Caenorhabditis elegans: one gene and its partners. The main gene of each other region encodes a partner of the protein of the gene in region 3 in a complex. Each region holds a gene or a part of one and is shown on either strand. Other genes may lie near its edges.

What was found.
Region 1: exos-1 (region 3) and crn-3 share a complex: the UniProt entries of both Caenorhabditis elegans proteins name them as parts of the RNA exosome complex.
Region 2: exos-1 (region 3) and exos-2 share a complex: the UniProt entries of both Caenorhabditis elegans proteins name them as parts of the RNA exosome complex.

The regions. Positions count from the first base shown.
Region 1 is NC_003280.10:10,584,149-10,596,761, forward strand, and holds crn-3 (Exosome complex component 10 homolog), read left to right. Parts: upstream 1-3,893; 5' UTR 3,894-3,894; coding exon 3,895-4,133; intron 4,134-4,757; coding exon 4,758-6,188; intron 6,189-6,303; coding exon 6,304-6,826; intron 6,827-7,251; coding exon 7,252-7,555; intron 7,556-8,276; coding exon 8,277-8,410; 3' UTR 8,411-8,504; downstream 8,505-12,613. Other genes in the region: Alpha-1,2-mannosyltransferase algn-9, read left to right, coding at 196-275, 919-1,458, 1,980-2,181, 2,236-2,766, 2,824-3,126, 3,429-3,584; crn-5 (Exosome complex component RRP46 homolog), read left to right, coding at 8,614-8,817, 8,864-9,030, 9,078-9,351; C14A4.6 (MARVEL domain-containing protein), read right to left, coding at 9,503-9,549, 9,596-9,785, 9,843-9,967, 10,013-10,067, 10,549-10,608; C14A4.7 (MARVEL domain-containing protein), read right to left, coding at 11,183-11,232, 11,300-11,384, 11,733-11,837, 11,887-12,011, 12,059-12,116, 12,223-12,414. UniProt on the Caenorhabditis elegans protein: Catalytic component of the RNA exosome complex which has 3'->5' exoribonuclease activity and participates in a multitude of cellular RNA processing and degradation events. Involved in apoptotic DNA degradation.
Region 2 is NC_003282.8:6,410,566-6,420,732, reverse strand, and holds exos-2 (Exosome complex component RRP4 homolog), read right to left. Parts: upstream 5,256-10,167; 5' UTR 5,231-5,255; coding exon 5,091-5,230; intron 5,030-5,090; coding exon 4,861-5,029; intron 4,816-4,860; coding exon 4,588-4,815; exon of another isoform or gene 4,481-4,587; coding exon of another isoform or gene 4,280-4,480; intron 4,233-4,279; coding exon of another isoform or gene 4,116-4,232; exon of another isoform or gene 4,080-4,115; intron 4,006-4,079; coding exon 3,850-4,005; intron 3,656-3,849; coding exon 3,527-3,655; intron 3,480-3,526; coding exon 3,390-3,479; 3' UTR 3,273-3,389; downstream 1-3,272. Other genes in the region: htp-2 (HORMA domain-containing protein), read right to left, coding at 6-116, 166-899, 946-1,093, 1,139-1,204; Y73B6BL.23 (uncharacterized protein), read left to right, coding at 1,655-1,728, 1,777-1,839, 1,885-1,963, 2,010-2,075, 2,126-2,266, 2,314-2,387, 2,434-2,530; Y73B6BL.22 (Nitrogen regulatory IIA protein), read left to right, coding at 4,116-4,232, 4,280-4,480; nlp-71 (Neuropeptide-Like Protein), read left to right, coding at 7,212-7,264, 10,003-10,089. UniProt on the Caenorhabditis elegans protein: Non-catalytic component of the RNA exosome complex which has 3'->5' exoribonuclease activity and participates in a multitude of cellular RNA processing and degradation events. Involved in regulation of antisense ribosomal siRNA production.
Region 3 is NC_003281.10:11,001,446-11,011,106, forward strand, and holds exos-1 (Exosome complex component CSL4 homolog), read left to right. Parts: upstream 1-7,597; 5' UTR 7,598-7,605; coding exon 7,606-7,749; intron 7,750-7,805; coding exon 7,806-7,924; intron 7,925-7,971; coding exon 7,972-8,074; intron 8,075-8,736; coding exon 8,737-8,997; 3' UTR 8,998-9,161; downstream 9,162-9,661. Other genes in the region: fipr-17 (FIP (Fungus-Induced Protein) Related), read right to left, coding at 6,014-6,157; Y48A6B.3 (Putative H/ACA ribonucleoprotein complex subunit 2-like protein), read left to right, coding at 6,786-6,899, 6,950-7,109, 7,155-7,372. UniProt on the Caenorhabditis elegans protein: Non-catalytic component of the RNA exosome complex which has 3'->5' exoribonuclease activity and participates in a multitude of cellular RNA processing and degradation events. Involved in regulation of antisense ribosomal siRNA production.

The DNA of each region.
Region 1 (12,613 bases), on a different chromosome or scaffold from region 3:
GTTTTTTTTCATTGTTTGTTTTCATTTTATTCTTTTTTTTTTAATTCTCGTTTTTTTGTTTTTTTTTCTATGAAATTTACAGATTTTGAACTTTTTTTTCAAAAAAATTGATTAGATTGGTTGATATCCCATCCACTTGTTATTTGTTAATCTTGTTAGAAACATTTTTTCAATCCACATTTTTCAGGTTAAACCATGGTGACGCATAGAAGAAAAGGAGGCAGTGGTCCGCCACAGAAACCACCGCCAAGAATAGTTGATCGATCTAGTTTTGAGTGAGTTGAACACATTTTTGAATTGAAAAACCCTTTTAAACTACCAGGTTTCACCCAAAAAAAAAAGCAAATGTTCAATTTATTGGAATTCGAAAAATTGAACATCGGAAAATCGAAGAATAAAAACTTTTGAGTATTCTAAATATGGTTTTTTAAACCTGATTTTTAAGTTGATTTTGATGAAAAAAAAATTAATTTATGTAAAATATCGAGAAATGACAGGAAATTATTGATTATTCGATTTTTTGCGAAAAGCGACATTTTTCAAATTTTTTTAAAAACTAGATTTATCAAAAATTTAATATTGATAAGAAAACAACGAATTTTTCTTTAAAATATTAAGAAAAAACCGGAAATTGTTGAAAATTCGAATAGTTTTTTTCGCGGTCAAAACAAAATTTTTAGATTTTTAGAAATCGGTAACTTTAGAAAAAAGTATAGAACATGCACGAAAAATATGAAAAAAATCGAAAATTTATGATTTTTTTAAAAGCTAGTTTATAAACTACCCTTGTTTCGAACTAAAACCATTTTTTTTTTCTAGGAAAAACACAAAAATTTTCAATTTTTGAAAATCGGAAAAACGAGAAAAAAGAAGAACGAAAAATATTTTTTAAAAAATTGATTTTTTTTATTTTTTCAGCGCCGACAAAAAGAAGATAAAAGTCGAAAAACTATATCACAAAGCCAACAATCCAGACAATGACTGGCCATTTTCCTTCGGTTCAGTCTTCAAAATGTTGCTCTCAATTCGAATTTCCGGTGCAATATGGGGTATTATCAATGATTGTGATGAAGTCTACAACTATTGGGAGCCACTTCATTTGTTTCTTTACGGAGAAGGATTTCAAACATGGGAATACTCTCCCGTTTATGCCATCCGATCGTATTTCTACATTTACCTCCACTACATTCCCGCGAGTCTTTTTGCCAACTTGTTCGGTGACACTAAAATTGTAGTTTTCACTCTTATTCGATTGACAATTGGTTTATTTTGTTTGTTGGGAGAATATTATGCATTTGATGCCATTTGTAAGAAAATCAACATTGCAACTGGCCGATTCTTCATCTTATTCTCAATTTTCTCATCTGGAATGTTCCTGGCAAGTACTGCATTCGTTCCATCTTCATTCTGTATGGCTATAACTTTCTACATACTTGGAGCATATCTCAACGAGAATTGGTAATACAAACTTCACTTTCTAAATTAAAAAAAAACGGAATTTTACGATTTTTGCTCCGAAATTACTGTACCCGGTCCCGAAGCGACCAGCTTTTTAAAAAATTTTAGAATTCAAACTAGCATGGGCCTTTAAAGATTACTGTAGTTTATAACTCCCCGTTGTCGCGGGATTAGATTTTTTCACAAAAAAAAAACCGAAAAATTGAAAAAAATTTTAATCGAATTTTATTTATTCTGATAAGAAAAACATATAATTCAATTCTACAAAGAGGAAAAATGACCAAAATTCAAAATAAATTTAAAAAAAAAAAACGATTTTTTTTGAAATGAAACATTTGTCGAAATTTTGGAAAACGGAAAATCGAATATCCCACACCCTTGTTGAGAACTACAGTAATCCTCAAAGGCGCACCATTTTTTCCATTCAAAACATTAGTCGCTTCGAGACCGGTTACCGTATTTCTGGAGCAAAAATAGAAAATCTTCGCGCTTTAGAATTATCTATATTCTTCTTATTACAGGACAGCTGGAATCTTCTGCGTCGCTTTCTCCACTATGGTTGGCTGGCCGTTCTCTGCTGTCTTGGGGCTTCCGATTGTTGCCGATATGCTTTTATTGAAAGGATTAAGAATTAGATTTATTCTGACATCGTTAGTGATTGGATTATGTATTGGTGGTGTGCAGGTTATTACTGATAGTCATTATTTTGGAAAGACTGTTTTGGTAAGTAAATTTAATTTCTAAAATTTAAATTCTAAGTTAATTAAATCCTTTAAGGCCCCATTAAACATCTTCCTCTACAACGTTGTCAGTGGTCCTGGTCCATCACTTTACGGAGAAGAACCGCTCTCTTTCTACATCAAAAATCTCTTCAACAACTGGAATATCGTCATATTTGCTGCTCCATTTGGCTTTCCTCTGTCTCTTGCCTATTTCACAAAAGTCTGGATGTCTCAGGATAGAAACGTGGCACTCTATCAAAGATTTGCACCAATCATCCTATTGGCTGTCACCACTGCCGCATGGCTTTTGATTTTTGGAAGTCAAGCTCATAAAGAAGAACGTTTCCTATTCCCAATTTATCCATTCATTGCTTTCTTCGCTGCTCTTGCATTGGATGCCACGAATCGACTGTGTCTCAAGAAATTAGGAATGGATAATATTCTCAGCATTCTCTTCATTTTGTGCTTTGCAATTCTCTCGGCATCAAGGACGTACTCAATTCATAACAATTATGGATCTCACGTTGAGATTTATCGATCTCTGAACGCAGAGCTGACGAATCGGACGAATTTCAAAAATTTCCATGTAAGAGTTTTATAAATTTCAATGTTTTTATTTTTTCGAAAACTCCCAGTTGTTCAGGATCCAATTCGTGTATGCGTTGGAAAAGAATGGCACCGCTTCCCTTCATCGTTCTTCATTCCACAAACAGTTTCTGATGGGAAAAAAGTGGAAATGCGATTTATTCAAAGTGAATTCCGCGGACTTTTACCTAAACCATTCTTAAAATCGGACAAGTTGGTGGAAGTTACACGTCATATACCAACAGAAATGAATAATCTGAATCAAGAAGAAATATCGAGATATGTGGATTTAGATTCATGCGATTATGTGGTTGATGTTGATATGCCACAGTCGGATAGAGAACCTGATTTCAGGAAAATGGTAGGGGTTTTGAATATGGAGAAACGTAAATGGAGATTTTATTTCAAAAAAAAAATCATCTCAAATTCAGCGACAAAACTACAAAAGAAAAACAAAAAAAAAATGGAAAAGAATTGAAAACGCGATTCTACAATTTTGGCTAAATTCCCTGTTTGAGGAAATCAAATTTTTAAATTCAAATTTTCATTCTTTCCCATTTTTTTTCGTTTTTGACAATTTTGGATTATTTCAAGCATACTCACACTACTCCTTCCTGTAGAAATGTTCTTAATATATAATTGTAAATTCATATCTATTTTTAGGAAGATAACTGGAAACCAGTGGATTCGCTTCCATTCATCGATGTCTCCAAATCAACAGGATTCCATGGGCTTCTTCGTGCATTTTATGTTCCATTCCTTTCTGCCAAACATAATGTCATGACGACATGCACTTTATATCGAAAATCAAATTTGTAAAACATGTATTAAATATTTATTGTTCACTTTGTCTGAACGGAATTCAGATTCAGGGATTCCGATTTCATGTTAATTTCGGGTTTTTTCTTTTAGGTCACCTTCTTTAAATTTAATTTATTCTTCTTATTTATTGCCTGGAAATTTTTAAAATTTGTATTTATCGTTAATATTATTTATTACCAAGAAATATTTTTTTTACAATTTATTCTCATTTATTGTTTTTCTTTTCTTGGTTTCAAGTCAACGATTTATTATTTTTCTTGATTTTTTTCTAAACTTTCGTTTCTCAAGTTCAAAGAAAATTTACAGAATGTCAGGAGAAGAATCAATGCCCGATGAAGAGCAGAAGCAATCTGAGGAAGAAGAGGAAATGATAAGAAAAAGAACGTTAGCGATGAGGAAAAAAGTCGAAGAAATTATGAGAAATGGCGCCGGGCTTGTTCGTGAATCAAATGGTTTGCCGAAAGCTGGTGCGGATTATGAGCTCTACAACTCGTATCCGACATTCAACACGTTTATGAAGCGATCCGAGCAGAGATTGAATGCACTGTGAGTTGAGCGTCTGAATCCGAAAAAGCTCCGGAAAATTAAAAAAAAATTTAATCGACATTTTTTTAAGCCAAAAACACCAAAAAACATTTTTTTTTCTCCAGAAACACAAAAAAAAAGAAACTTTATTTCAAAAAGCTTAAATATTTTCATCAAACATGCATTTTAAGTTTTAAATTTTGAAGTTATTTTGGAAAAAAACTTTAAAAAAAATTATTCGCCAAAAACTACAAAAAAACTACAAAAAATTTCAAAAAATCGAAAAACGAAAAATTTTCGATTTTTTTTCAATAGAAAATTTTCCGTTTTTTCGATTTTCCGCTATTTCGAGATTTTTAAAAAATTAGCTTTAAAATTTGGTATTTTTGCTTCTTTTTAGAAGAAATTGTCATGTTTTTTCTCATCAATATAAACTAAATTATTTGAAATAAATCATATTTTATGGTGAATTTTTTGAACTTTTTTTTTTGAGTTTTAGGAAAATCGAAAAAAAAAACGAACATTTTTGGCTTTTCTATTTTAAGTTAAAAACATCGAAAAAATCGGAAAACGACATTCTTGGCAGGGCCATGTTCAGAGAAAATTTCATTTAAAAACAAAAAACTTGAAATTCCATATTTTCAGCATGAACAAAGTCACCAAGTCAATAGGATGTGCAATGCGAGTTCCAGATGTCGGTTCATCAGTCGAACATTACACAGAATGTGTTATCGAGGCTCAGGACAACATTGCAGAACGTGCAGCAACTCTCCATGAAGCGCTGAAAAAAGCCGAGCTAGATGAGATAGTCAAAGTTCCAGAATTCATTACAAAAGCCGCCCCAACAAATCGAAAAACCGAAGCAGAAGTTTCAGCGGCAATGAGAACGTTTTCAGCGAATATTGGAACGGTTTTGGCGGAGAAGTTTAGAGAACGAAGAGAAGAAGCTGCTCAGATGGTTGTGTTGGAAAAACCACAGAAGACGTATAACATCAGTTCGGACAACTCACAAGCTCCTTTTTCTTCTAAATTGACTGTTAAACATCATGCCATTGAAAAACGAACGGGTATTGTTCTCCACGATGACGATGAGTCTGGAAGAAGAGATTGGATAAGTGCTGAAACAGAAACTGAAGAGGAACATCCATATATCGCTGAAATTCTTCACTTCAAAGTTCCAGAAGCTCAGCTGAAATCTGCAGAGTGTTTAAAATTCACAGCATTGAAGGATACTCCATTGACAATGATTGATACTAAGGAGAAGCTTGAAGCATTAACGAAAACTTTGAATTCTGTAAAAGAGTTCGCAGTCGACTTGGAGCATCACCAAATGCGATCGTATCTTGGATTGACCTGCCTTATTCAAATTTCAACAAGAGATGAAGACTTTATCATTGATCCCTTCCCAATATGGGATCATGTTGGAATGCTCAATGAGCCATTTGCAAATCCACGTATTCTCAAAGTTTTTCACGGTTCTGACAGTGATGTTCTCTGGCTACAAAGGGATTATGGAGTTCATGTTGTTAATTTATTTGATACATATGTTGCCATGAAAAAGCTGAAGTATCCTAAATTCAGTCTTGCCTACCTCACTCTCCGATTTGCCGACGTTGTTCTGGACAAACAATATCAACTGGCTGACTGGAGAGCACGGCCTCTACGAAATGCGATGATAAACTACGCGAGAGAGGATACTCATTACCTTTTGTATAGTTATGATATGCTCCGAGAGCAACTTCTGAAACAAGATACCAAGGATTTGGCCAACGTCTACTCAGAGTCTAGCGATCTTTGCATAAAAGTATACAAGAAACCAGTGTTCAATCCGAAAGGATATTTGACGGAAATAAAATTCCGATTCACACTGAATACTCGACAGGACTATGCACTTACACATCTTTTCAAATGGAGAGATGTAGTAGCTAGAGCAGAAGATGAGAGCCCACATTTTGTACTTCCAAATCATATGATGCTATCACTTTCTGAGACATTACCACGAGATGTTGGAGGTATCTACGCGTGTTGTAACCCGTTACCGTACTTTGTGAAACAGCGAACTGGTGATATTTTGAAGTAAGTTTTGAGAATTGTGGGAGTCCCAGCATTTTCCGAAAAATGAAAATTTCGTAAATATAAGCTCCGGGACTCAAAAGACCTCATAATAAATATTCTAATTATAAAATTACAGAATAATTGTGGAGGCCAGAGATGTGAAGCTTGAGAAAGTGGGATTGTCGGCGAAAGAAAGAAATGATGCACAGGAAGCACGAGGTGTAATGAACGATACTATGGATCATATCACTTCAGTTTTAAAATCAAAAATCGACTTTTCACACACTAGATTTGACGAAGAACGCGGAGAAATTTATATTGATAAGACAGATGAAGGAATGGATATCGAGCTGAAAGATCATAAAGAATCATTGTTATCAGTGCTCCAAACGGCTGAAATTCCAAGTGTGGAAACTATGATTGTTGTGGAAAAAGGAAAGAAATCGGATAATCAGAAAGTTAAAAAGTTGTTGAATGAACTTGACAAATTTGTAACTCCATTTGAATGTTATCAAATGATGATGATTACAAAAGAAAAGCAAGAAGAAGAAGAGAGAAAAGAGGCTGAGAGAAAGAAATTGGAGGAAGGTGATCTACCGAAGACTATGTTCTCACATCATGATGCTCCGATTAATAGAAAACCTGAATTCGATGCGAAGGTTGGTAGATATAATGAAATCTGAAAAAAATCGTTTTTTTTTTTGGGAAAAACCGAAAAAAAATGTCTGAAAAGAAAATTCCAAAATCGGTATTGCTCATACGGAATTCAGAGATTGCTTTATTCTTAAAAAAAAATTTTCGGCGGAAAAACGTACAGATTTGATAGAAAATTTTTTTTTTTCGATTTTCTCTGAAAAAAATTTAGTAAAAAAACTTTAAAAAAAAATTATCTGAAAAAATCACTAAAATCTTTTTTTAATTTTCTCTGAAAAAATAAATAAAAATGAATTTTTTTTCGATTTTCTCTGAAAAAATCAGAAAATAAAACTTCTTTTTTTTCGATTTTCTCAAAAAAAAAATAAATGAAAAAAAATATATTTAAAAATTCCGATGACATCCTTGGTTTTAATAAGATAATTTTCAGCTTCTAAACGTTGATACACTGAAGCTGGTCCCAGATGATCCGAACAAGCCGAAAGATCCAGAACCTTCACCAATGGAAGAATCTTCATCGGAACCTCAAATCTTCGATCCATCTCGTTTTACCGACGACCAGCTACTGTCAAAGAAGGCAATGAAAAGAAAGAGAGATGCTGCTCGACGAAATATAGATGTTTCTGTTGTGCTCGGCGAGTCGTCGAGTAGTTCAGATCCAAAAAAGAAAAAATCTGATGATGATGCTCCCGTTGAAGATTTTGATTATGAAAAAGCTGATAGTAGTGCATTTGGTAAGTTATATTCCTTTGAATTATCCAGACGCGAGATTTAAGGCTAAAAATACGGTACCAGGTCGCGACAACTTGCAAAATGGTGTGCGCCTTTGAAGAGTACTGTAGTTTCAAATTTTCGTTACTGGGAAATTTTCTTCGGTTTTATTTTAGTTTTTTAATAAATAAATTTAAAACTAAAAAAAATTCCGCAGCAACAAAAGTTTGAAATTACAGTACTCTTTAAAGGAGCACACCAGGGCTGGGACAAAAAATATTTTTGAACAAAAAACCAAAATTGAAATTTACGAATTTGCGAAAAACGAACAAAAACCAAAAAAAGTTGATGCTTGAATTTATTTTTCAAAAAAATCGTGAATATGTGAAAATGTATTGGTTTTTCAAAAAATATTTTTGTTGGTCTGAAAAAAAAAACAAAAAAATCAATTTTTCGTCAAAATACAAGAAATATTTCAATTTTTGTTGAATTCCAACAAAAAAACCCAAAAAAAAATCAATGTTATTCGTCGAAGTGCCAATAAAAGCTATTAAAAAACCCAAAAAAAAAAATTCAAAATACCAAAAAAAAACACCAAAAAATCAATTTTTCGTTAAATTCCAAAAAGAACCGCAAATTTGCAAAAAAAAAACGTTTTCTGGCTCAAAATTTGGATAATACCGTACCCAATTATATAGCTCTCAAAAAAGTCTCGAAATCAAATTCCTAATAAATTATTTCCAGAAAAACCTGTTCGAGACAACAACGCCGATTTCGATCCATTCCATCAAAAATATCGATTGAAGAACAAGACAAAGAAGAATATGGCTATGAAAAAATCATCGAATCGACAAGGAACCATCAACTACAAAAAATGATTAAATTGTTACATCCCATCCCATTACCATTGTTATTTTACTTTTTGTTGTTGTGCTTTTTCTTTTGCTTTGAAATTAAAGAAAACTGTTTTTGAAATCTTTTTATTTATTTATTTTTAATTCAATTTGGTTTTCCACCAATTTCAGTTATATTTTCTACAAAATTCATTTTTGTGATTAATTTTGATTTCAGATATCCCCAAATGGCCGGCAGACTTCGTGAAATGCGTTGTGAGCTCTCGTTCCTCAAAAACGCGGATGGCTCGGCATGCTTCTCCCAGGGTGCCACGTGTATTTGGGCTTCATGCAGTGGTCCTGGAGATGTTCACGCTTCGAAAGCAAGTGATGAGGCTATGACTCTGGATATTAGTTATAGAGCAAATTGTGGAGATAACAAGTTCAATGTGGTAGGGGTTTTTGTAGAAATTACTTTTGGAATAATTCTTTTTTCAGCTGAACAATATCATTCATTCTACTCTATCCAATGCAATCAATCTCGAATTGTTTCCCCACACAACAATTTCTGTCACAGTACATGGAATTCAGGATGATGGAAGTATGGGAGCTGTAGCGATAAATGGAGCTTGTTTTGCTCTACTTGACAATGGAATGCCATTCGAGTAAGTTTTTTTAGATACTGTTTTAAAACTGTAATATAATTTTTCAGAACAGTCTTCTGTGGTGTCCTTATTGTTCGTGTCAAAGATGAGCTGATTATTGATCCGACAGCAAAACAAGAAGCTGCATCGACTGGAAGAGTGCTCTTTTCAGTGTGCAAAGGATCCGATGGACATCCAGAAGTGTGTGCGATGGACGCTATAGGACATTGGGATTTTATTCAGCTGGAAGCCGCGTGGTCATTGGCACAACCATCTGCCAGTGCTATTTTTGATTTCTACAAAACTGTGATGAAGAGGAAGCTTTCGGTTGATGAGCAATAGATTATCAATGTTTTGTTGTTGTCGTTGTTGATTTTAATTTTTTATTTAATTTTGAATCCATTGTTTTGTGAGATATTAAAATCTTAAATTTCAAAGTCGAAGTTTTTGTAGAAATGTGACAAGAGAAGGTATTTAGGTATTTAAGAATAGGTTAAGCTTCAGATCCATAATTTGAATATTCGTAGACTCCAGCCGGATCTGAAATAAAAATGGTGAATTTTCAAAATAAGAAAAAAAATCTCACTCAAATGATGTGATCCATTATTCCATCTTCGAACATTTACAACCAGATTGAACACGTGGATGAGTGCAATAATAAAACAAAAAATTGCGACCACCAAAAATCCGAAATCATCAGTCACTTCTTCACTACTAATCGATATTGCCATGGAGATAACATAGCAAATAATTGCAAGAATCGATCCAATACATTCCTAGAAATTCAAATTTCCGTGTAGTTTCACGTGTGCCCCATCGATGCCCGAACTTACAATTGCTGCATACGGTAGCATTCGAATCGCCATTATTGAGATATCGTACTCCTTGAGAAGTACTGCAATTGTGCAAATATCGAAGACGATGGAGCATCCAATTGTGAACCAAATTACTGACATTCCTGAAAAAAGAGGTTTTACGAGAAATTTTAGTACAAAAATCGAACCTGGTGGTCGGAACTTGATGGTTCCAAGGTAGATGAGTAGTGTCAAAGATCCCAGCTAGAATTATTTTATATTTTTATATTACATAGGCGTCTAAATATGATAATTTTTGCGGATGGGTCTCGCCACGCGAATAACGAGTTACTGTAACTCTGTGCCTACGAAGGATGGAGGCCCGTAAATCGACACGAGTTACAGTAACGCGATTTTCGCGTGGCGAGACCAATGCGCGAACATTCGCATCAGACGTCTACGTATTACTAGAACATAAAATTCTGAGACTGCGTATTGCGCAACATATCTGACGTGCAAAATAAACTTCATCAATAAACTATGAAAACATCGCAAAATCGGACCAGCGCTACAATAGTCATTTAAAGAATTACTGTAGTTTTCGCTACGAGATATTTTGCGCGTCAGATCTGTTGCGTAATACGCATTCTCAGAATTTAGTGATCTCGTAATAATAGAAGAATCTTAGGCCATCGAGATAGCCCCGTGACCAAATTTCAGGTGTCACATCGTGTATTCAACTCACCAATGACAAAATCTTGACGAGTTCTGGGATTTTCTTGAATCTTGACACATTCAGTGGCATTTTTTGGTCTTGTTAGATATCTGAAATCAATATTTAATATTTTATTCGTATGCACATGGCTATATAAAATTTGAAATAACGAAGTTAAGTTCACAAATAAATAATGAGGCGAGAATTGGGGGGAGAGTTTCTATTCTGTTTTCGGTTACTGCATTCAATGGGCTCTTATCAGGAGCGTAACTGATAACGTTTGATGCTCTACTCTACAGGTTTATGCAATTCACTGGGAGAGGTGTAGATGGTGAGAGAGTGCAGAGAAACGAGAGTGTCTGCTTCTGTGATGTCTCCACAATTTATTTAGGGGGTATTTTAAGGATATTTTGACAGCTTTCAGGGGAACCAAATATTAAAGGCACACTTCGTTATTCTGAGTAGGTCTTGCCACGATTTCAGGCATAGTGGTCTCTAAAAGCGCCAAACTTTACACAATCGGATACTGTTAGATTACTATCAATTACAGTAATCTCCAATCACAGTAAAGTTTTAGAATTTTCAACGCTACCAATTTTCAGATTCAAATGATTTATTTTACAAGTTATTAATTTTGAACAGAACATAAATAAAATTATTGGAACTAAGCAATTGAAGTGCCGTTGTTTTCGTAGTCAGCGTTGCTTGGCCGACCTGTAAAAGAAATGAAAATATTTTTTCATTTAATTCTGATATGTGAAAAAATAGAAAAAGTACTCACCTGGAAAGTGAACATCTTGTCTCAGTTGTGGCAATGATTTGAAAATACACGCGATTCGAACTCCGAAGATCAGGAAACAGAAGAACTTGAAAATTTTAGGAATCAATTTTTAAACAATTTTTACAAAGATTGATTTGGTTATATTTTCATTTCATTTTTGGACGATGAAAAAGTGTTGGAAGTTTTTTATTTGAAGATTTGTTGCTTATGTTTTTCAAAGTTAAACCACACGAATTTGAAAATTAGATCATTTTCTAAGAATTTATTGCAGGTTCTCCACTCGGAACAGGGGTATGCGGCGAATCTCAATTTTTGCCGAGCTTGGCGAGCTGCAAATTCGGCAAACTCGGCTGCGTATTTCAAAATTTTTTCACACATTTTTTTAAAAATTTTCCCAAAAAATGTAATCTTGAATTACGAAGTGTTAACTCACAGCTCCAACATACAGAACACCATCTCCAGAATACGATTCACTGGTTATGAACAAGATTCCGGACATAAAAATGAAAAAGCTGACGAGCAGTGAGGCCAGACAATGCTGAAAATTTACTTCGAGTTTACTCAAATAAACACTTTTAAAAACTTACATACACCGAATACGGTGCTTTTCTCATCCATTCAACATTTTCATCCCAGTCTTTTAAAAGGATCAAGATTGTGATAACATCAAAGGCAAAGGAAATCCAAAAGCTGATCCAGAAGAACTTGGCTTCTGGAATTTGATAATGTGAACTTTTTGAAATCTAATTTGAAGGGTACCTTTAGGATAATGAAGATCTGTGAAGGAAAGTACTAGTCCGAGTACAGCACTGAGAAGCTGGAAAGAAATGAGAAATTCTATAATTTAATTAAAAAAATAGAATTCAAGATTCTATTTCAGAATTCCTAAAACACTTTCTTTTAAATCCAAACTAAAATCCTACCAAAGTGATAGTTTTTCCACTTTCCGGAAAGTGCCTAAATCGTTCGAATCGAAGCGTCATTTGCAGGAGAGTTGAATAAATAAGAAGATGGAAAAATAGTATTTTTGGTGGAAACCGTCTTGAGTTGTCTGTGTCTCTGCACACTTCCTTATCGATAACTTGTACTCTCATGCATTGAATTTTTTGATTCATAACTCTTTGGAAGAAGACAATACGCAGTTGAACGGAAAATGAAATATGTTTTCGATAGTTGAGAAAAGGAGTGTGAAATTGAAGGTACTGTAGAATTAGCTTTTGAAAAAGTATTTAGATATAACAAAAGATTGCACAAAACAGTAAATTCAAAATGTATTTATTGTTATTTGTTTATTCATTTACGATTTCATTGTCG
Region 2 (10,167 bases), on a different chromosome or scaffold from region 3:
AAAAATTATTTACGGGAGCGAGAGTATGGAGAAGATCTGGTTTTGCTGTCATCGGCTCCTCTGCGAGTAGTTGGTCTCATCTTGATAGGCGACATTTGTGTTTTCTCGAGAGAATCCTACAAATTGAAACTGTTTGTTAATGTGTACAACACTATTTAATCTAACGGTTATATTATCAACCGGAGACGTCACGTTTCCTCCTTGATCGTTGGCAGATTCAGTAGTATCCTGACTAAGACCTGGGTCGGTGTCCTCCGAATTGAACGATTTATACAGCACATTCACTGGATTGAATGCATACATATCGGAAACTTTGTCCAGATGTCCCTTGAGAGTCAACTCTGCTGCGTATGAATCGGACATCGACTTGCTCCAGCATTGCATGTGTGCAGCGTGGTGTCCCGGGCGTAAGTGACCAATGGTGACCGATTGGATACCATCAGGAAGTGTGTAAAAAGTGGAAGAATCGTCGAAGCCATCGATGCGGAAATTGGATGGAGCATCGTTTGTGTACTTCAATCGAAAATTAGCCGTGAATTCTGCTGGCAACGGTTCGAGAACTTTCGTGCAGAGGAACTGAACACTGCGAACAATCGTCACCATTTGATCCCGTACACTTTCGGCACCCTCATATCGAAGTTGAGCAAGCTCCGCGAAGTGAGGATCTTCCTGGTCATTGTTGTCAGTGCTCAGACGAGCAACCACGCCGCCATTCTCAAAATAAATGAACTTCATAGAGAACACTTCGATGGCTTCAACATCTCCGTCATGCTCGGTCACCACGAGGGAGATTTCTTTCAGAAACCCATCCTTTGTGGCATCCCCGGCGGCTCGAAGTAGTTGAGCGATTTGGTGAGCCCGTAGGTTTTTGAAGCTCAGCGTCATGCAACTCAGATTTTCTGGAAAAAAACATTTACAATACAATGTGATAAGAAAAACAATTACCAGTGATGTAATTCTTCGAGAAATATTCTTTTTCGAGAATGTTACGTTGCCTGAGAACAGCCGAAAACACGACGTAGATTGCCCTGATCATAAAATTGGACGATCGATCCGGGTCGCTGACAATGCTTGGGAAAAGTTTGGACCATGTCTAAAATTAAAAAAATTAAAATAAGCATAAAACCATGAAACAAACTTTATCATCAATGGCATCCTTCGATTTGTTGAGCGACTCGTTGTAGTTATTTTCCAAAGGCGCCATCTGCAAAAAACAATTTGAAGACATTTTTAGGGCAAAGTTTAATTTTTGAATTCAAAAAAAAGAATGCAGATGATGCGTAATTAAAGGTACATCGGATTGGTGCAACCCATTGGTCTCACCACGCAATTACAAAAGCTGAAAATTATTCAAATAATTTTTGACTAAATGCAGCTTTTCTTTTCATTTTAAAGTAAATTTTTTATTCATTTCAAAACTGGCAATAAGTTTATTTGCTAGAAGTAGTTTTAGAAAGTAATATGTTTTAAAAATACGCAAATGCAAGTGAAATTCGCGAACCCGTGGTGATACCTAAATTTAGTTTACTGACTGCGCCTTTGATTACTGTAGCCTGTTTGCTTGGTTTCGAAACGTTTTGAATTCTCATTTTTTGTGCGAATTCACCTAATTTTTCTCCTATTAAGCTCAAAAAACGTTTTCCATTGTTTTCAGATGCCAAACTATCGAGGACGTCATCAAACGAGACAGAATTGGAGTTCTAAGCCAAGAGAAGAGCACTCCCCGAGGTATTTGAAATTAACAAAATGCCATTTTTTCGAGTACTTTCCTTTCAGCAAAGGCACATACACGGACAAAATCCGGAGCGTTCCAGTCAGTGAGGTCGTCAGGCAACAAACGTATGAAACTAATTTTTGAATGCTCCTAATTGATTCATTCTTCAGGGTGAACGACTGGGTGACTACAGGTGCTTATTCGCTTGGATCGCCAGACTCGTGGCCATCTTATCCGGACGAAATCATAGTGAGTGTCACAGTACAACGAAAAGATCTCATTTTTCTTGTTTTAGCTGATGAACGAGTCCCGAAATGCTCAGACATCCCGCAATTCGCGTCGGTCGGCTACTCCCGGTCCAGTGAGTTTATTTTCTTCATATTTTCGTTACGAGACTGATCTTGGTTTCAGAGATTGCCACAAGATAGAAGGACAAGAACTACAGCACCCACCGTTGCGCCGATTCCGTTCCAGAGGGCACAGCCTCGAATAGAAGTGGAGAGGCAAAGAATCAACGAGCCTGTCGCACAGGACCTGATTATCGATAATGAGGTACCAGAAAAGTTTCATCGATTATTAGTTGTAATGTATTTTTGTAGAACGGTACCAACAACTCCAACGATTCGAGTATCTGTGGCATTATGGAGGAATTCGAGGAGCTCGTATATCCACAGTGAGTATCTAAATCAATGAATTAACTCTGAAATCTCTTTTTCCAGATGGGTTTACTATCTGTACCCATTGATTCCCACCGCGCCCAACTGCAACAACGAGAAGTCGTACAAAGAAGGTTCCAATTGGTACATCTCTCCATGAATGATCTCCCTCTTCAGCTTCTCTCAATCTGTCATATTTCTTATGCCTGCGTGGCTCCTCATTCTTTCTCATATTGTCAGTCCCATCATACCCGTAATCAAACCCCCCCTCATTCAATTTTCTCTGTACCGGTTAAGAAGTTCTAACATTGTATTTTCCATGATTCTATATCAGGAGCTGTTTTCCCATTATTAATCCATAATATGATCGAAAGTTATTCACCATCGAGAATTAGAAGTTCGAATTAACTTCACATTGTTTTCTATGAAACGTTCATCCGATCCTCGTTTACCATTCGATCCTTTGTTATATTTTCCCATTTTTACTGTGCCCAACACCTCATATGCATCCTTTTAGGTTAGAAGTCTGCTAATTAGCAGCATAATTTTTGAGCTTTCACTGAATGTCTGTCCCATGCCTGCTCTCTCTTTTCCTTTTTGTTGTTTTCCTCTGGTCAATGTTTCAATTCTTCCTGGTTTTTTTTGAATCACAATAAACACTTTCCAGAAAATCGTCTCGATTCTCACTTGGTGGATTGAAAAGCGGATAGTGTGAATCGAAGTATATTCACTGAAATTGTTCGGTCATTAAGTTAGAATGTGGAGTTCAATTGAAACAATTCCTAGATCAAAAAAATTTCTGTGCGACCTTGGGTTTGCAAAGATTACGGGTCGATCGTTTAATTTCAGGGTATGGACCATTTCTTTCGAAACTTTCAGATTTTGTATCGCAGCTAATATCATCCGAAAAAGTAAAAAGTTTTATTTAATTGAAATGGTAAATAAGAAACTCAACAAGAAATAACAGCAACAAAAAAGGTAAATTTTAAATAGGGAGAGATCATTCAAAACAATTAGAATTACTTCTGCTGTTGAAGTTCCTGTAGAAGCCGTGCAGCAATCAGGTAGGCGAGTCGAGAAGACGTGTCTTGCTCGGCGAGCTCTTTGATCTGAAATTATTTTTCTAATTTTTTAAAACTGAAGAAACAATCGATACTTCATAAGGCTGACTCATTTCATAGCATGTTGTCAGTGAATTGAGGTAGATCGAGATGGAATAATCACGAAGAAGACGAACACAGGCAGCGATTCTGACCATAGTTACGCGTACGTCGGGAGGTACAATCTGAAATTTATTTTATTGCGAAAAAAGCCAAATTTTTTTGTTTTTCTTTTCGATTATGATGATCACGAGTATGATGAATAAATTATAAGGTCTCGTCAATCATTGGAATTATTATAATTTCTCGTTGTTGAGTCACCAAATATGTGCGCTAATTGTTATTTTCGATTCATTTTTCTCAAGAATCACTATCACACCTGAAACTCGTGAACATGTGATCCATCCTCTTCAAGTGTGGTCTCCGGCAACGACGGCGTGACCCACACACTTCCGTTGCAGCCAATAATCACAGCCATTCCGTAGGGTAACGTGTGAAAATGTTTCTTGGACTTTTTGATCAAATGTGGAGGAACCTGCAAAAAAAAGAAATTAATTCCGTGACTTCCCACTCATTTTGTGGATTTTTTTGTCGCTTTATTTATTTTGGCAGCATAAACAAAAAAGAAATATTGCTTTGAACGAGATGTCGCATAAGAATGAGAAAACTCAACACTTTGAAAAGGCGGAGGATATTCGTACAAAAGTGCTCGATTCAATGATCTACCGACTCGATGAACGTGCAAATATGGTTATCACGGAGGTTAGCTTTTCATTAATTTTTTTTGAAATAGAAAATTATTATTAAAGAGCCCAATTCCCGAATGGCGTGCTTATACACAATGGATTCTCATTGCTGCGTTGCTTGTAATTTTTTGTATTCTTCGTTATGGCGTCGAGACTGTTGAACTGCATCCAACTGCAAAGAAGGATCAAGATCCTGTGATTGAGTACAGAGATCGAGAATTGAATAAAACTTCTGAGGCTTTTAGAGCAAGACGCCGTACGTGAGCTAATTGGAATCAATTGGATGATGAATTTAAAGAAATATAACAACTTTCCGAACTATTATTTAAAAATTTATAATTGCGTTTTCTTAAGATTTTATAAAATATTACCTTAATCAATATTCCTTGTTGCAATTTTCCGTACTTATTATTTCTTGTGTGTAGCATAAGTGTTCCGTCGTGCTGGACTTGTTGGACTTCTGCACAGATCAGTTCTCCGTTTTTCAAGAATTCGCTCATTTTCTCCTCATCTTCTACATCTTTTCTGCGAAAGTCTCCTCCTGGCAGGAGAACTGAACCTAGTGGAAGATTTGCATGAAGACGAGATGCCACATCACACTGAAAAACAATTATCGTTATATTTTTCACTTAAAAATTTGAAACCTTCCACCGTTTTGCTTGAACCTCCACGACACGGGCAACTACAACATCTCCGACTTCACCAGCATATCGTTGTTTAATAGTTTTAACCATCAACAGTCGATTTAATTGTTGAACGACTCCAGAGAGAGAACTGACGATTTCTCCGTCGCGAACGTAAGTTCCATGTCCTCTGAAAATCTTAATTTTTTCATTTTTCAAAAAGATATAACAGTATTTTACAATATACATACCTCATAAACTGTTGCGGTGCATCACAAACTGAATGTCCTGGAATAACAATTTTTGTCTCATCAATATCATTTCTTGCTTCGGACATTGATAACATCATCCATGGTGATACGAGGGGTGGACCGGTGACTTCGAAACTCATTTTTTAAATTTTTTTTGTCTGCAAATAACCAAATTTAAATAAACTTAAATTAAACAAAGAAACTGAAAAAAGCTTTCATTCGAAATGAAAATAAAAATAATTATTTCCAACGACACTCCGAAATGACGGAAAGCGTGCTGTTTATCGTAAACCCACACGTCACTCAATTGGCGCCTATTCAAATGTTGATTTTCGACCATAAAAGTGCGAGCCAATTGAGCGTGCAAATTTAATTGTTTCTGCTAAACCAATGACGATGAAAACCCGAAATTGAAATAAAAATAAGGTTCGACACGAAGCCATTGTCTGACTTTTTATAAAGGTGTCATTGGAAGGAAGTGTGAGTTGAATGGGACACCTATAATTTCGACTTGCATGCGAACGGGAAAAATACAACAAAAGAGGATACGTAGAAATATATTGGAGAAAAACTGAGTATTTAAAACAGAAGTAAAAATCGTAAAGGAAAAATTTTCAAAACTTTGGTGGTTTATTGTGCGATTTTTAAATATTTCCTAGATTCCGATTTTGCGGGTTTATGTACTCTTTTTTATTTAGGTTGACTGTAAAAGTATTCTTCTCCATCTAAAAATTAAAAAAAAAACATTTTCAGACGGTAGACGGTCATGTGGAACTCTTAGAAAAAAGTTTTGAAATTTTGAAAAAATTGAAAAAAAATCAATGTTTCTGAAAAAACATTTATAAAGTTACCATTTTCTGATTAACAATGTTCGAATTTTCGAATTGGTATTTCTTATTTTGATTGAGAGTTTTATGAGAAGTATTGAAACATATTTTTGATATTATTCTTAAATTTCGTTAAAAGTTATTAAAAATGCATATGTACCCGGAATATTGTAATTGAGCCAGTATTTGAACAACTTCTCAAGAACTTCAACTAAACATTCGGTTAATTTCAGGAAAATCAATATTATTTCTTCTGTTCTATTCATATTTCAGATTGAAATCTTTCACAGAACAGTGCAAATTTCCTAAAAAGAATGTGTCGCAAAAGAAAGGTCCACATATTTTTCTAGCAGTTGTACACTTGCTCCATATTCGAAGCTCATTTTTTATTTTTTGTTTTATATCAAAAATTGTTAACTGACAACTAATTGACTATTTACTTTTCTAAAATTTCCCATAAAAATAGTAGTAGGAGTCTTACAAAAGCTCCCAGAAAAATTTGTAAAAAATCGAAAAAAAAAAACACTGTTTCTGATACACTATTTACAAAATTGTGGTTCATCGAAAACAATGTTTTCAAAATATTGTATCTAATACATCGAGGCATTGATTAATTTTAGAAGTTATAACTTGGTTGTCTTTAAATTTTTGAACAACTGTCAACTGGCAACTTATTGATTATTTAATTTTCTAAAATTTATCAATTTTACAGTTTGTAAACTGTTTTGAATGAATTGAGATATGAGCTGTTAAAGTATGATAGTCAGGTGCAAGTACTTATTTATTTTGTCATTTCATTTTTTCGTAGTTTTAAAATCGCTAACCAATGTCTAGAAAACTTTATACAAAATTATCCATAATTTGCATTATCAGAGCCCTTAATTTCCCACAAAAATTCGGCGAAAAATGTGGGTGGACGGACGGGTGTTTTTCGATGACAAATGGACAGATCAAAAGCTTTCATTAATTATTTGAATATACTTCTTTTCACTCATCTTCCGTCATTTTCACACGCCTACCGTACTCCTCCATTGACTTCGCAAATCGCGGCGAATTTGAAATTAATATTTTAAAGAAATTTCTTACAGAATCTTTTATATTTTTTTGCGTTGATTCCAAGATCCGGGGGAATTTTAAATTTTTATTCATCAATTCTAGAGACAGACTCTAACAAAAATTCTAATTTCTTCCTACCCCGAGACTCCGCCCACATCTTCGTTTAAAAGAGACTGAGAAACGGGAAAAAGCTTCCACTTGCTATTGCTCTAACGTCTCGTCTTCTTGTGCTCCGAATATGAAGTCGTCGTCAGTGCTCTCCGTTGCTTTGATTGTTCTCGTCATCGTTCAGTAAGTCAGATTTTGGTGTTTCTGGGAATTGTATAGGGTGCAAGTAGTTGTGGGAGTCTCTAAATAAGACTTTTGAGGAAATTTGATAGGTATACAGAGATTTAGAAGGAATTAGAAAGGTCTATTTCATATTGCTGCAGATCTTTGAAGAGTCTTGGGATGTTCCGAAGTAGTATAACAGGACGACCTGACTGAAACAACTCCAATAATTGATTTCAATAGAGTTGAGGAAAATAGAATACGTAAAACAGTGGGTAAAAGTGTCTAAAATCTTTTCAACAAAATTTTTTTTTGTTTGGTTTGAAATTAAAAAACCGGTCAATATTCAATAAACTTATTGGAGCCTGTTTCAGACATGCCCTATTATCACAAAGAATTTTTAGAACGAACCACATTTTGTTCCCTACGAAATTTGATTTATTTTGTTATGTTGAAAATGCACTTTTAAAAGTTTCGAATGCCTTCTTTTATTCTCAATTTCACCCTGCAATTATTCTGGTACATCAGTTTAGAGATTTACGCAGCTTTCATTAGTTCTTCCTTTTCTGAAATATCTTGAATCCGTAGATGTAACAGTCGATTACACCATGGAAAATGGAGACAAAATTTATGTTAAATGTGTGAAACAGTAAATTAATTTTTCAGAGTTCAGAAAAACAACTCAAACGAACGCTTATTTTTTCCAATGAACAGTTTTTTAGCCTCTGAATGTGTTTTATAAATTAAAGGAGCACCATGTTGAATTAATGGTGTATAAGTTTGCTAAAAAACTTCAGCATTCTGTGAAACAGTAATTTTTGACTCATGTCTTTCAAGCAACAATTTTCTCTAGGTTTTGCCGTTACAGTATGTTTTTATTTTCAGCTATATTAACAGTTTATGAAAATTTTTTGAAACAGAAATAACCGTTCCCACAGACTTTTTTATCAAACAAAGCTTATTGTGAAAATTTATATGAAAATTCATTAAACTTGCCAGTCATCATGTCTGATCCATATAATTACGTTCAGTTTTCTAAGAAACTATAAATAGTAAGAACAATGTCCCGCTTTAGAGAAAATGAGATATTTTTAAAATTACCTTGCCGCAAATATCTAAAAAAATCCAATTGCCCGGAAACACCTTTAAAGAAAAGTTGCAAAAAATGTAGAAAATGTTAAATAGTGTACAAACACCATGATGCCTATAAAAATCTATTTTTTTTCAAAATGTATGTTTCCAACGTCCGACGTTTTCTGAGTACTGCCCCGGCTAAAGTGACAAAATTTCTACAGATGAAAGTCGCAAAATTTCGGGCGGTCAAATTTTCAAAGTCAACTCTTTTGAAAGTTCTAGTCACACCGTTTCGTAAAATTAATAACTTCTTATTATTTTGAATAATCTTACAAAAAAAGTTTGAAACAGTAAAAATATGAATCAGGAATTATTATTATTATTATTATTATTAAAATTGGTGTACCCCCAAAACATCCAAATTTTGTAATGAGTTGTTCTGAAAATTTCAAAGTTTTGAAAAAATGGCATGCGTTTATTTAAAATTTAAAATTTTGCCAACTACACATAGTCAAAACTTGCGGATCTTAGCAACCTAAAATATACCCAAATCGCCGAATAAAAGCTGAAAAAATTATTAAAATAAGCCTTAAAGGGTGAAAATCCAACAAAAAAATCAAGCTCCGCCCGCTGCGATACTTTTGCAAAATTTGAGATTTTCCCTAGAAATAGGCCTTTTTCCAAAATTTCTTACCGCTATAGGCTTTTTTTCTAGAAATTATCATTACAAAATTTGGTAGTTTTGGGTCATCTTGGGTCTAAAAAGCAACATTTCAGATTTCGGTACTCCACCATTAATAATAATAATAATTGATTTAAATTTTTCTGTTTCAAGTTTTCATTGTTTCATGAGCAAATTTTGTGCCTATCTTAAGTGCCTATCTTAAGTGCACTGAGCGCCCGTCATGCGAGTTTTGCAATTAGACTTTCTTGTCGGTACCCCACCTCTAAAACACGGAACTAACATTTTCCGATCGTAAAAAAGTAACATCATATTTTCCCACGTTTTATGATCAACCAACCCACATTCCAGTCAAATGATACCACGTAATGATCACATTGTTGCCAAAGTTATATTTATATTTTTTCCATTAAATGAAAAGAAGTTCCCACACTCTTTTCCCATGCTTTTCCTCCGCACAATCAAGATTTCAGAGGGTGATGCGAGAAGGGTCATTGACCATGAATTATAACAACAATTCAAAGATATATTTCAAAAAGTAAAATGAATATTTTATGATACAAAAAATGTATAAAATCGTACAATTACTACATGAAAAAACACTTTCTGATTTGGTTATTCATACTTTTCCTTTCTATTCTTGTTCATTTCTAATCCTTTCATCATTGGTATCTTTGTAATTTTATAAATTCTAAAGTTTTAATTCAAAAAAAAGACTAGATAATGAATAATTGATAAAACATATCGCAACCGGGAAGGATAATTTATGAGTTTCCACCCTCTGAGGCGCGGGAAACAAAAAAAGTAAAAATGTACTGAAATACAAAATGACGTGTTTGGATGAACAATTTGACCCATGGGGATTCATGGAATGTATTAGTGGTTTACCCGAAATAAAAAAGGCATCAGAGCTCAAAAACGTGCATATTTAGTACGAATATATTCTCTAACATGTTGTTTTTTTTTTAGTTTTGAAGAATCTTGAAATAGATTTATTTTTCAGATTGATCTCCGCATCACTAGCATCTGTCCCATCATCATCTGCAGTTTCCGATGGACAAATTGACTTTGATGCACTGGCGGCTAAAATGTGAGATAGTCATGATTAATTTATTACTGTTTCAGGAAAAAAGTAAAGCTAGGGCTTTTGAAACTGTGGATAGTTTTC
Region 3 (9,661 bases):
TGGAACAATTCTTTCCGGGAATATTGCGGAAGCAGCCGACACATCCCGGGATCTAAGAAAGCAGCATTACACATTTTAGGTAGCAGCCGACACCTCATGGGTGCCCGTGGTGGAGCGGCCGACGCAATCCGGGCCCTGCTCCGCCGACCAACGCCGAAAAGAGTCGGCTGCTTTTCAATGGTTTTCAGAATAGGAGAATACGTTTTTTTTCTTAAAATAATTTTTTTCGGTTTTCCAAAACAAATTATGCATCTGAAAGCAAAATGCAAAGAAAATGAAAATAAAATCCTGAAATTTAATACCCAGATCCGGGTAATAAATTATTTAGAATTGGCCAATTGGTTTTCTTAACATTTTATGGAAGCAAAACTAATGAAGCTGACGTGGAACTTCCACTTTTTGCTCGAATTACCATATAAACTCGGCTGAACTTTGACTATGCGAAAGAGATGGGAGGGAAAAGCTTCTCACAAGCTTTAAGGGCTCATAAATCAACGGCTCTGCAGGATTGCGAGGGTCCCAGGAGTCTAGGTGAAATCTCGTGGCGGTTTTCGTGAGAATGTGAGGAATCGTGGACTGGGCTGGAATTTTTTTTTTTGAGCTTGGAGGGAACAAAATTGGATAATTAAGTAACAAACGTTTTGGCAAACTAGGGAAAAATAGTTGAAGCACAGCTAGGAAAACCAGGAAGGCGTTAGTTGCAGTGTTTTAATGGCCTGGAAAGTGTCGGTTGCTTGATTTTACGGGTCTGGAAAGTGTCGGCTGCTTGGTTATAAGAACCTGTGAGGTGTCGGCTGCTTTCCTGCAACTACCTCCAGTGCTTTTCGGTGCCAGTAAAACGTCGGGCACTTCTCTACAAACACCCCAAAAACAAATTAGCGGAATGTCCACCCAAAAATCCAATTTCCTGAACAGATTGAGTGCATTTGTCTAATTGTCTCGTCTCTTTTTATTTGTGGTGAACTTTGAGGTTTTTGTGGTAATCAAATTCTGAGAATTCGGGGTAAAAAACTCAAAAATAATCAAAATTTTCGCAAAAATTGAGGGCATAAAATTTCTTAAACTTGAGCCCACAAGTCGCACCCATGATATCTGGTATTTCTTTTTTTTTGAGATTGATGCCCTCTCCATGTCTATGTGCCTATTTTAGTACCACCACCACCTCACACACATACACACAAAAAGATGCGGATGAAAGATAGATTAAGCCTCTTGGGGGATCATACGGGAGGGAAAAACGAATGTGAGAAGAAGAATAATACAAGAAAATACCAAATAGGGGGTTTCACAATGCTGCCTACGCCTGCCTACCTGCACATATTTTTAAATTTTGTACAAGGAAATTCCCTCTGAAATAGGCAAATATTTGGAAGATCTGACTTTCATTAGACACAAGTAAGTTTTCAGCTTCATTTTGGTCATAGTTAGGCGTATAGGAAGGCGGCAGGCGTTTTGGCAGCCGACGATATACGCGTTCGCTGGAGTAGCAGCCGACGCTCTGCGAGGTTTGTAGAATGGCGGCCGACGCTATATGAGTCTGATGGGAAAGCAGACGACGCTTTCCGGGTTGTTTGGATTGCAGCCGACGCCTTGTGGGTCTGATGGAGTTGCAGCCGACGCTTCTAGTTTCTGATAGGGTGGCCGCCGACGCTTTTCAGGTTTGTTAGGGTGGCAGCCGACTTTATGCGGGGCTTATAGGGCAGCAGCCAATGGTTTTTCGTGGTAAACTTTTTTTTTAATTTTGAAAAGAAGTAGAAACAAGGAAAAACTCGGATAAGAAAGACTAGAATAACAAAACAAAACAAGAATTGGATAAAAACGACACGACAATCCCCGAGATGAATAATTTATTGCAAGTTGGTCATTGTCGACAAGGCAGAGATCAATTTGGCCGAAATTATAGTGAAAAACATGTCAAAATTAGAAATTAGGTAGACATGGGTGGGTACTATTATGACACCCCAAATGTGACCTTTTTTCATGCCGAAGGAGAAAACATGTGGGGAATAAGGAAGTGGTACCTTTTTATGGATATTCTGGGAAAGGTCTGAAAAGGCAAGATTCGAGGAAAATATGAGAATTAGGCCTGCCTGCTCAAAGACTTACAATACCTATAAGGCAACTTAGGCCTGCCTGCCTGCCTACATATCTGCCTGACTACTGCCTACACGCCTATGAGGTGACCTAGAATTTACTGTCTGTCTTCAGGAGAAACTGAGACCTACATGCTTGTCTATAATGCAACTGTCTGTTCACATTGCAAACTAAGGTCTGCCTGCCTGCCTATAAGGGAACCGAAACCTAATTTCTGTGCCAAAATCAGCTTTCAGCTAAAAATATTTACGTTTTCCTCCCCCGTGCCTGCTCTTTTTTCTCATTTGGGCCCTTGATTAAAAAAGAATAAAAAACAATAAAAAATGTTTTTTCGGGATTTTTAAGGCAGAATTTCGTCAGAAAATTCAAAAATCAGGTGATCACACTGCTACCCCCCGGGAGAAGCCGATTCTTCATATATCCACCGACAAAAACCGCCCGTCCCTGGGGATGATTTTATCAAAATTTTCGGGGAAAACTAAAAGGACAATCTTCAGGATTTCCCAAGAAATTTAGAAAAATTTTTGAAGGAAAAATAGGTGAAGCATGACGGGAAGCATAACCCTTTGTGTGGTACTGAATCAAATTTACACGTAGGTTAGTACTCTGTGAGTGCGAGAGAAATTTGAATTTAATGGGTTTTCACTCGTTTTTTATCAAATTTCAAGGTCCGGAAAACCGCTAGGAGGAAATTGAGGTGAAAATTCGATATATTTTTTCTAAAATAAAATTGGCGCCCAGGAGATCTAAAGATGATCTTTGTTCAAGAGTACGGCTTTCATAGTAGGCAGGCGCGGTTCAGGGCTTTCGCCTACCTGGAAGTCCCATTCAAAAGAGAAGAAATGAAGAATGGGCATCCCGATTTTTGGCGTGTAAACTTTTGGAAAATGTAGAAATCCATGGATTTGTTTCATTATTCATGGAAGAAACTTGGAGGTTTTGTGAAATTATACACATGAAAACCGATTGCCAAAAAACACAGGGAATGTCTAGAGCAGGGATGTGTAGCTCGGCAAATTTTGAAATTTGTCGCGCCTATGAATTTCTACCAGAAAATACCAAAGAAAGTATGCTAGATTGTACGGAAGAATTTTTTAAAAAATTGATAAAAATATATATGTATGCCAATCTACTTTTTTGGTATGCCAATCTATTTTTTGGTATGCCAATCTATTTTTTGGTATGTCAATCTATTTTTTGGTATGTCAATCTATTTTTTGGTATGTCAGTCTATTTTTTGGTATGTCAATCTATTTTTTGGTATGTCAGTCTATTTTTTGGTATGTCAATCTATTTTTTGGTATGTCAATCTATTTTTTGGTATGTCAATCTATTTTTTGGTATGTCAGTCTATTTTTTGGTATGCCAATCTATTTTTTGGTATGTCAATCTATTTTTTGGTATGTCAGTCTATTTTTTGGTATGTCAATCTATTTTTTGGTATGTCAATCTATTTTTTGGTATGTCAGTCTATTTTTTGGTATGTCAATCTATTTTTTGGTATGTCAATCTATTTTTTGGTATGTCAATCTATTTTTTGGTATGTCAGTCTATTTTTTGGTATGCCAATCTATTTTTTGGTATGTCAATCTATTTTTTGGTATGTCAGTCTATTTTTTGGTATGTCAATCTATTTTTTGGTATGTCAGTCTATTTTTTGGTATGTCAATCTATTTTTTGGTATGTCAATCTATTTTTTGGTATGTCAATCTATTTTTTGGTATGTCAGTCTATTTTTTGGTATGTCAATCTATTTTTTGGTATGTCAATCTATTTTTTAGTATGTCAATCTATTTTTTGGTATGTCAATCTATTTTTTGGTATGTCAATCTATTTTTTGGTATGTCAATCTATTTTTTGGTATGTCAATCTATTTTTTGGTATGTCAATCTATTTTTTAGTATGTCAATCTATTTTTTGGTATGTCAATCTATTTTTTAGTATGTCAATCTATTTTTTGGTATGTCAATCTATTTTTTGGTATGTCAATCTATTTTTTAGTATGTCAATCTATTTTTTGGTATGTCAATCTATTTTTTGGTATGTCAATCTATTTTTTGGTATGTCAATCTATTTTTTGGTATGTCAATCTATTTTTTGGTATGTCAATCTATTTTTTGGTATGTCAATCTATTTTTTAGTATGTCAATCTATTTTTTGGTATGTCAATCTATTTTTTGGTATGTCAATCTATTTTTTGGTATGTCAATCTATTTTTTGGTATGTCAATCTATTTTTTGGTATGTCAATCTATTTTTTAGTATGTCAATCTATTTTTTGGTATGTCAATCTATTTTTTGGTATGTCAATCTATTTTTTAGTATGTCAATCTATTTTTTGGTATGTCAATCTATTTTTTGGTATGTCAATCTATTTTTTAGTATGTCAATCTATTTTTTGGTATGTCAATCTATTTTTTGGTATGTCAATCTATTTTTTGGTATGTCAATCTATTTTTTGGTATGTCAATCTATTTTTTGGTATGTCAATCTATTTTTTGGTATGTCAATCTATTTTTTAGTATGTCAATCTATTTTTTGGTATGTCAATCTATTTTTTGGTATGCCAATCTATTTTTTGGTATGTCAATCTATTTTTTGGTATGCCAATCTATTTTTTGGTATGTCAATCTATTTTTTGGTATGTCAATCTATTTTTTGGTATGCCAATCTATTTTTTGGTATGCCAATCTATTTTTTGGTATGTCAATCTATTTTTTGGTATGCCAATCTATTTTTTGGTATGCCAATCTATTTTTTGGTATGCCAATCTATTTTTTGGTATGTCAATCTATTTTTTGGTATGTCAATCTATTTTTTGGTATGTCAATCTATTTTTTGGTATGTCAATGTAAATGCTGTATTTTTCAAAAATTCAAAAGTACTATAAAATCATATGAAGCGCTTCTTTTTTATTTTATAAAACTGTTTAGCATTGCCAAATATACCAGAAAATACCAAAAAAAGTATACTAGCTTGTCCGCAAGTATTTTAAAAAATTGATAGAAATATATAAAAGCTGTATTTTTCAAAAATTCAAAAGTGCTGGAAAATCATATGGTTCTAAATTACCAGATTATCCCAAATTTCATAACAAGATTTTCAAGACAATGTTCAACTTTTATTCATAAATTAATTGCTTCAGTTTGAATTATCCAAACTTGGATGGTAGGTCGAATCCCATGATGATATGTCGGTCTGAGGCAGGTCGAATATGGTTAGCTCGAGGTTTTCCAACAACCGACAAGATGGAGAGTACAGCAAACACTAAAACGCAATAAATGTTCATTTGAAGAACCGAAGTGAGGAAAAGGTTTGTGATCGGAAGGCTTTTATTCCACCCACATCGATAAAGTTAGTTCCGGGAGCGGGAGCATCAAAGATGTATGCTTCGATGCTTAAAAACCTTGTGATCATTTGCACGGAAAATATAAGTTTGCAAATACACTCAAATCATACAACGCAAGTCGAATTGTTAATGTTAGGGGTTCCAAAACGCCTGCCTGCCTGACCTTAAGGCGGCCTCCGCCTGCCTCTCGTGAGGCCCTGAAACCGTGCCTGCCTACCTAGCCTCAACTACCTAACAGAAAACTGCTCAATATGTAGGAGCATTTTGGACTAGAAAAATAAATTTGAAATTTTTTAATTTTGTCTCGCACTTCTTTAGAGTCCCGTAGATTAACTCCAATTTGGGATTTTTTTTTTTCAAACTTTCTACTTCAAAGTCCCATTTTATTAGGTCATAGATTTTCCATCTAAGCCTAAGCCTAGGAATTAGCCTAGGCCTAAGCCTCAGTCTAAGCCTAAGCCTAAGCCCTAAAAACTGAAAGGCCTGCGGCGCGATTAACAAGATTATAAGCCCAAAAAACAGAGTTTGAATGTTCAATATTTATCAGTAATCAACAGAAACTGCACAAAAATTATTGTGGACGTGGTGCACCGATGATGACTCCGCTTCCGTATCCACTGCTTCCTCCGCACTTCTTTCCTCCTTGTGGCAAGAAGATTCCAGAAACTGAAGAAATAGCCAAGATGGCGAAGACGCAGACAGAGTAGACGTTCATGATGATGATGAAGAAGAAGAAGATGCTTCTGATGCTTGAATTCTGGAAGAAGTTGGCTTTTATAGTACCGTGTAGGGGGCGGGTGGGGGGTTCGGGGACATAAAATTGTTATATTTTAGTTGCGATTTTGATGATAACTCGTAAAAATTGAAGTTTGAGCGTTTCGGGGAAGCGGAGAGGCTGCAAAACTTGCAAAAATCGGAGTCAGGAACAGTTGAAAATTCAACAAAACGAATTTCCCTGAAAATCTCTAATTTGAATTCCCGCCAACGAATTGTCTGCGTCTCCACTCTCTGGGATGTGGGCGAACGCGCTCCACTGCACATTTCGATTCGATTTCTCTTTTTTCTCTTTTGACGCATTTTCACATAATTATTGTATTTTTCGAAGTTTTCTGCGGGTTTTCTCCGATTTTTTTCGATAAAATTAAATTTTAAAATTCGGAAATATAATATTTATCAATTTTAAGCCATGAAATATCGTAAAATTCCTATGTAATCACCCATAATAGGATTTTTATCGATTTTTTGTTGCAAAAATCCCATTTTCATTGTTTTTCTTTTCCTAAAGCTAATTGAACTTTGCGGCTAATTTACACGATTAACTTATGAATTTTCAGAATCAAAAAATGGGCAAGCGCAATCTGGACGAGACAATGAACGAGTCGACCGTATCAGAAGCCAATGGAGACGCCACCGCACCAACCACCGAGAAGGACGAGTACCAGGCACTTTGCGAGCTGGTAAATCATTAATTTCGCTGGTTTTTTAATGAAAAATGTCTTATTTTCAGGTAAACCCAATCGCTCAGCCACTAGCAAACCGCAAGTTGGCCAAGAAGGTGTACAAGCTCATCAAGAAGGCCTCCGCCGGCGATAAAACCCTCCGTGAGGGCATCAAGGACGTGCAGAAGGAGCTCCGCAGAAACGAGAAGGGAATCTGCATTCTTGCTGGTAGGATTTTAATCTATTTTTCCCTTAAAACGTTCAATTTTTCAGGAAACGTCTCTCCAATCGATGTGTACTCACATATTCCGGGAATCTGCGAGGAGAAGGAGATCCCATACGTCTACATTCCATCTCGTGAGCAGCTCGGACTCGCCGTCGGACATCGTCGCCCGTCGATTCTGATCTTCGTCAAGCCGAGTGGGGACTTCAAGGAGCTGTACGACGAGGTCGCCGAGGCTCTCCGTCATCTCACCGTCGAGGCCGCCTAAATTGTTTTTTCTCTGGTTTTCACTGTTTTTTTTTTGTTGTTGATTTTTTAAAATTTCTTGATCTGTATCACCATCTTTATCCACAATTGTTCACTCATTAAATTGTTGTTATCTACAGACTTTTTCTTTTTATTCTTTAATCCTTTCTCGGTAATTTCCAAAACTCAATTTTGTTACTCGAAATCAATCTAAATCACAGCAAATCCCGTTCTAAACCACTTTCAGCTCAGAAAATGCTCGCCGAAACGCTTGTGGCGCCCGGCGACAAGGTTCTCGACGCGATTGGTGAATATCGAATGGGGAAGGGATTATACGAGGCGAATCGAAGGATCTTCGCGTCGGTAGCCGGTTTTGTCAACGTTTATGGATTCAGAGATGTAATTTTCGCACAAATCGCAAGCGTGGAGCCCGAAAATTTCCGTTTTTTCTGCAGAAATCCGACAACCTGGTGCAAGTGATCGAAGTTCGCCGCAGCGAAGATCAGCTCGACAATGAGCTTCTCCCATTCCACGGAGCCATCGTCACCGCCAAAGTGATGGCTGTCGGATTACGGTAGAGCAGCTTTTCGTTGCTCTGAAAACCGACAGAAAATATTGCAGATTCGCCAAATGTGACATCATCAGTATCGGCGATAAGGTTTACAAGAAGCGGTTCTCGGCGCTGCTGCCGAAAAAGAAGCTGAGGCCGCTGGAACCTGAATTGGTTGGATTTTGCCTGGATTGTGGGTCTCGCCACGAAAAAATTAAGAATTTCTGCTTACAAATGTGGGAAAAACCTTTTTTTTAGCAGAAAATTAGGTTTTTTTGCGAAAATTCTTATGAAATTTCGCATAAAAATGGCCGATTTTAAGGTTTTTTGCAGAAAAGTCGTCAAAATTCCTGATTTCTTGTGGAAACATCGGAAAAACATTGATTTTAGACTGATTTTCACTAAATTTCAACTGAAATTCTCGGTTTTTTACTCAAAAAACAAATTTCCCTCTTTTTTCTTATTTTAAAGCGATTTTCGAGCAAAATTTTTTTTTAAACATTAGATATGGGCCGAAATCGTGGCGAGACCCAAACTGAGAACCCAAGTAGTGTATCGCACAGAAAAAGAGGCGGAGCTTAAATTCGCAACCCTGCGGCACGGGGTTTCCTTCCTTTTTCGCATGTTTTACACTGATTTTTGTTGATTTTTTTCAATGAAGTTTAGATTTTACTAACTAAGAAGTGAAATTTTAAAAAATCAATAAAAAATGCAGTAGAAAACTGGCAAAAAGGTGGAAAAACCGTGCCGGAGGGTTGCGAAATTACGCTCCGCCTCTTTTTCTGTGCGATACTGCTTTAGAGGCAAAAAATTGAAATAAAGAGCATTTTTTGCAGAGTGAGCCATTCAAAAACTTTGTGCGACCCAACGACTACATTCTGGCAAAAGTTTGTGAAGACGCCGAAATCAAGGACAAATTCGTTTTATCGATCGCCGAAGACGAGCTAGGCGTTGTGCTGTGCCGTGGACGATTTGGTGAACCAATGCAAAAAGTCGACTGGAATACGGTGGTCTCGACACGAACCGGCAAAACGGAACCCAGGAAAATGGCCAAAGTTCCGCAAAAGTGCACATTGCCCACGCAATCGGTGGCCTGAATAATTATCCTCTCTGAAAAGATCTTTGAATCGTTATATTTTTGTACTTTTTTTTGTGTTTTTGGGGGCCATTGTTTCGAGGAAAAAAAAGTCATAATTGTTCCCCCACTCATTCCTTCCTTTTTTGTTGAACAATTTTTCAAAAAAAAAAAAATGTTTCTCGGTTTTTTTTTTTCAACTTTTCAGGTTCTAGAATTTTTAGTTTTTCCATTTTTCCGGCGGAAATTTTTTTTATAATTTCAATTTTCAAAAAAGAGTAACTGAAATTGTGCGAAAATTCAAATTAGCCCAGTAACCGCGCCCTATTGAGAATTTACCGGTCTCGCAGCGAAATGTTGACTTTTTTCTTTTGAATTGCTTATAAACCAAGAAATTCGGCGATTTTTGTGAAAATATAAAGTTTTCGGTCTGGACACAACAAATTTTTGTTAAATGCAAAAAGGTGTGCGCCTTTAAAGAGTACTGTAGTTTCAAAATTTCGTTTCTGCCGAATTTAAATCGATTTTCCAAATTTTTTCTCACGATTTGTTTAGCTTTTTGCTAAAAAAAACATACGTTTTCATCAAAAAACTGTGAAAAATCTCTCAAAATTATGCGACAACTAAAGTTTGAAGCTACAGTACTCCTTAAAGGCGCACACCTTTTTGCATTTAACGAAAATTTG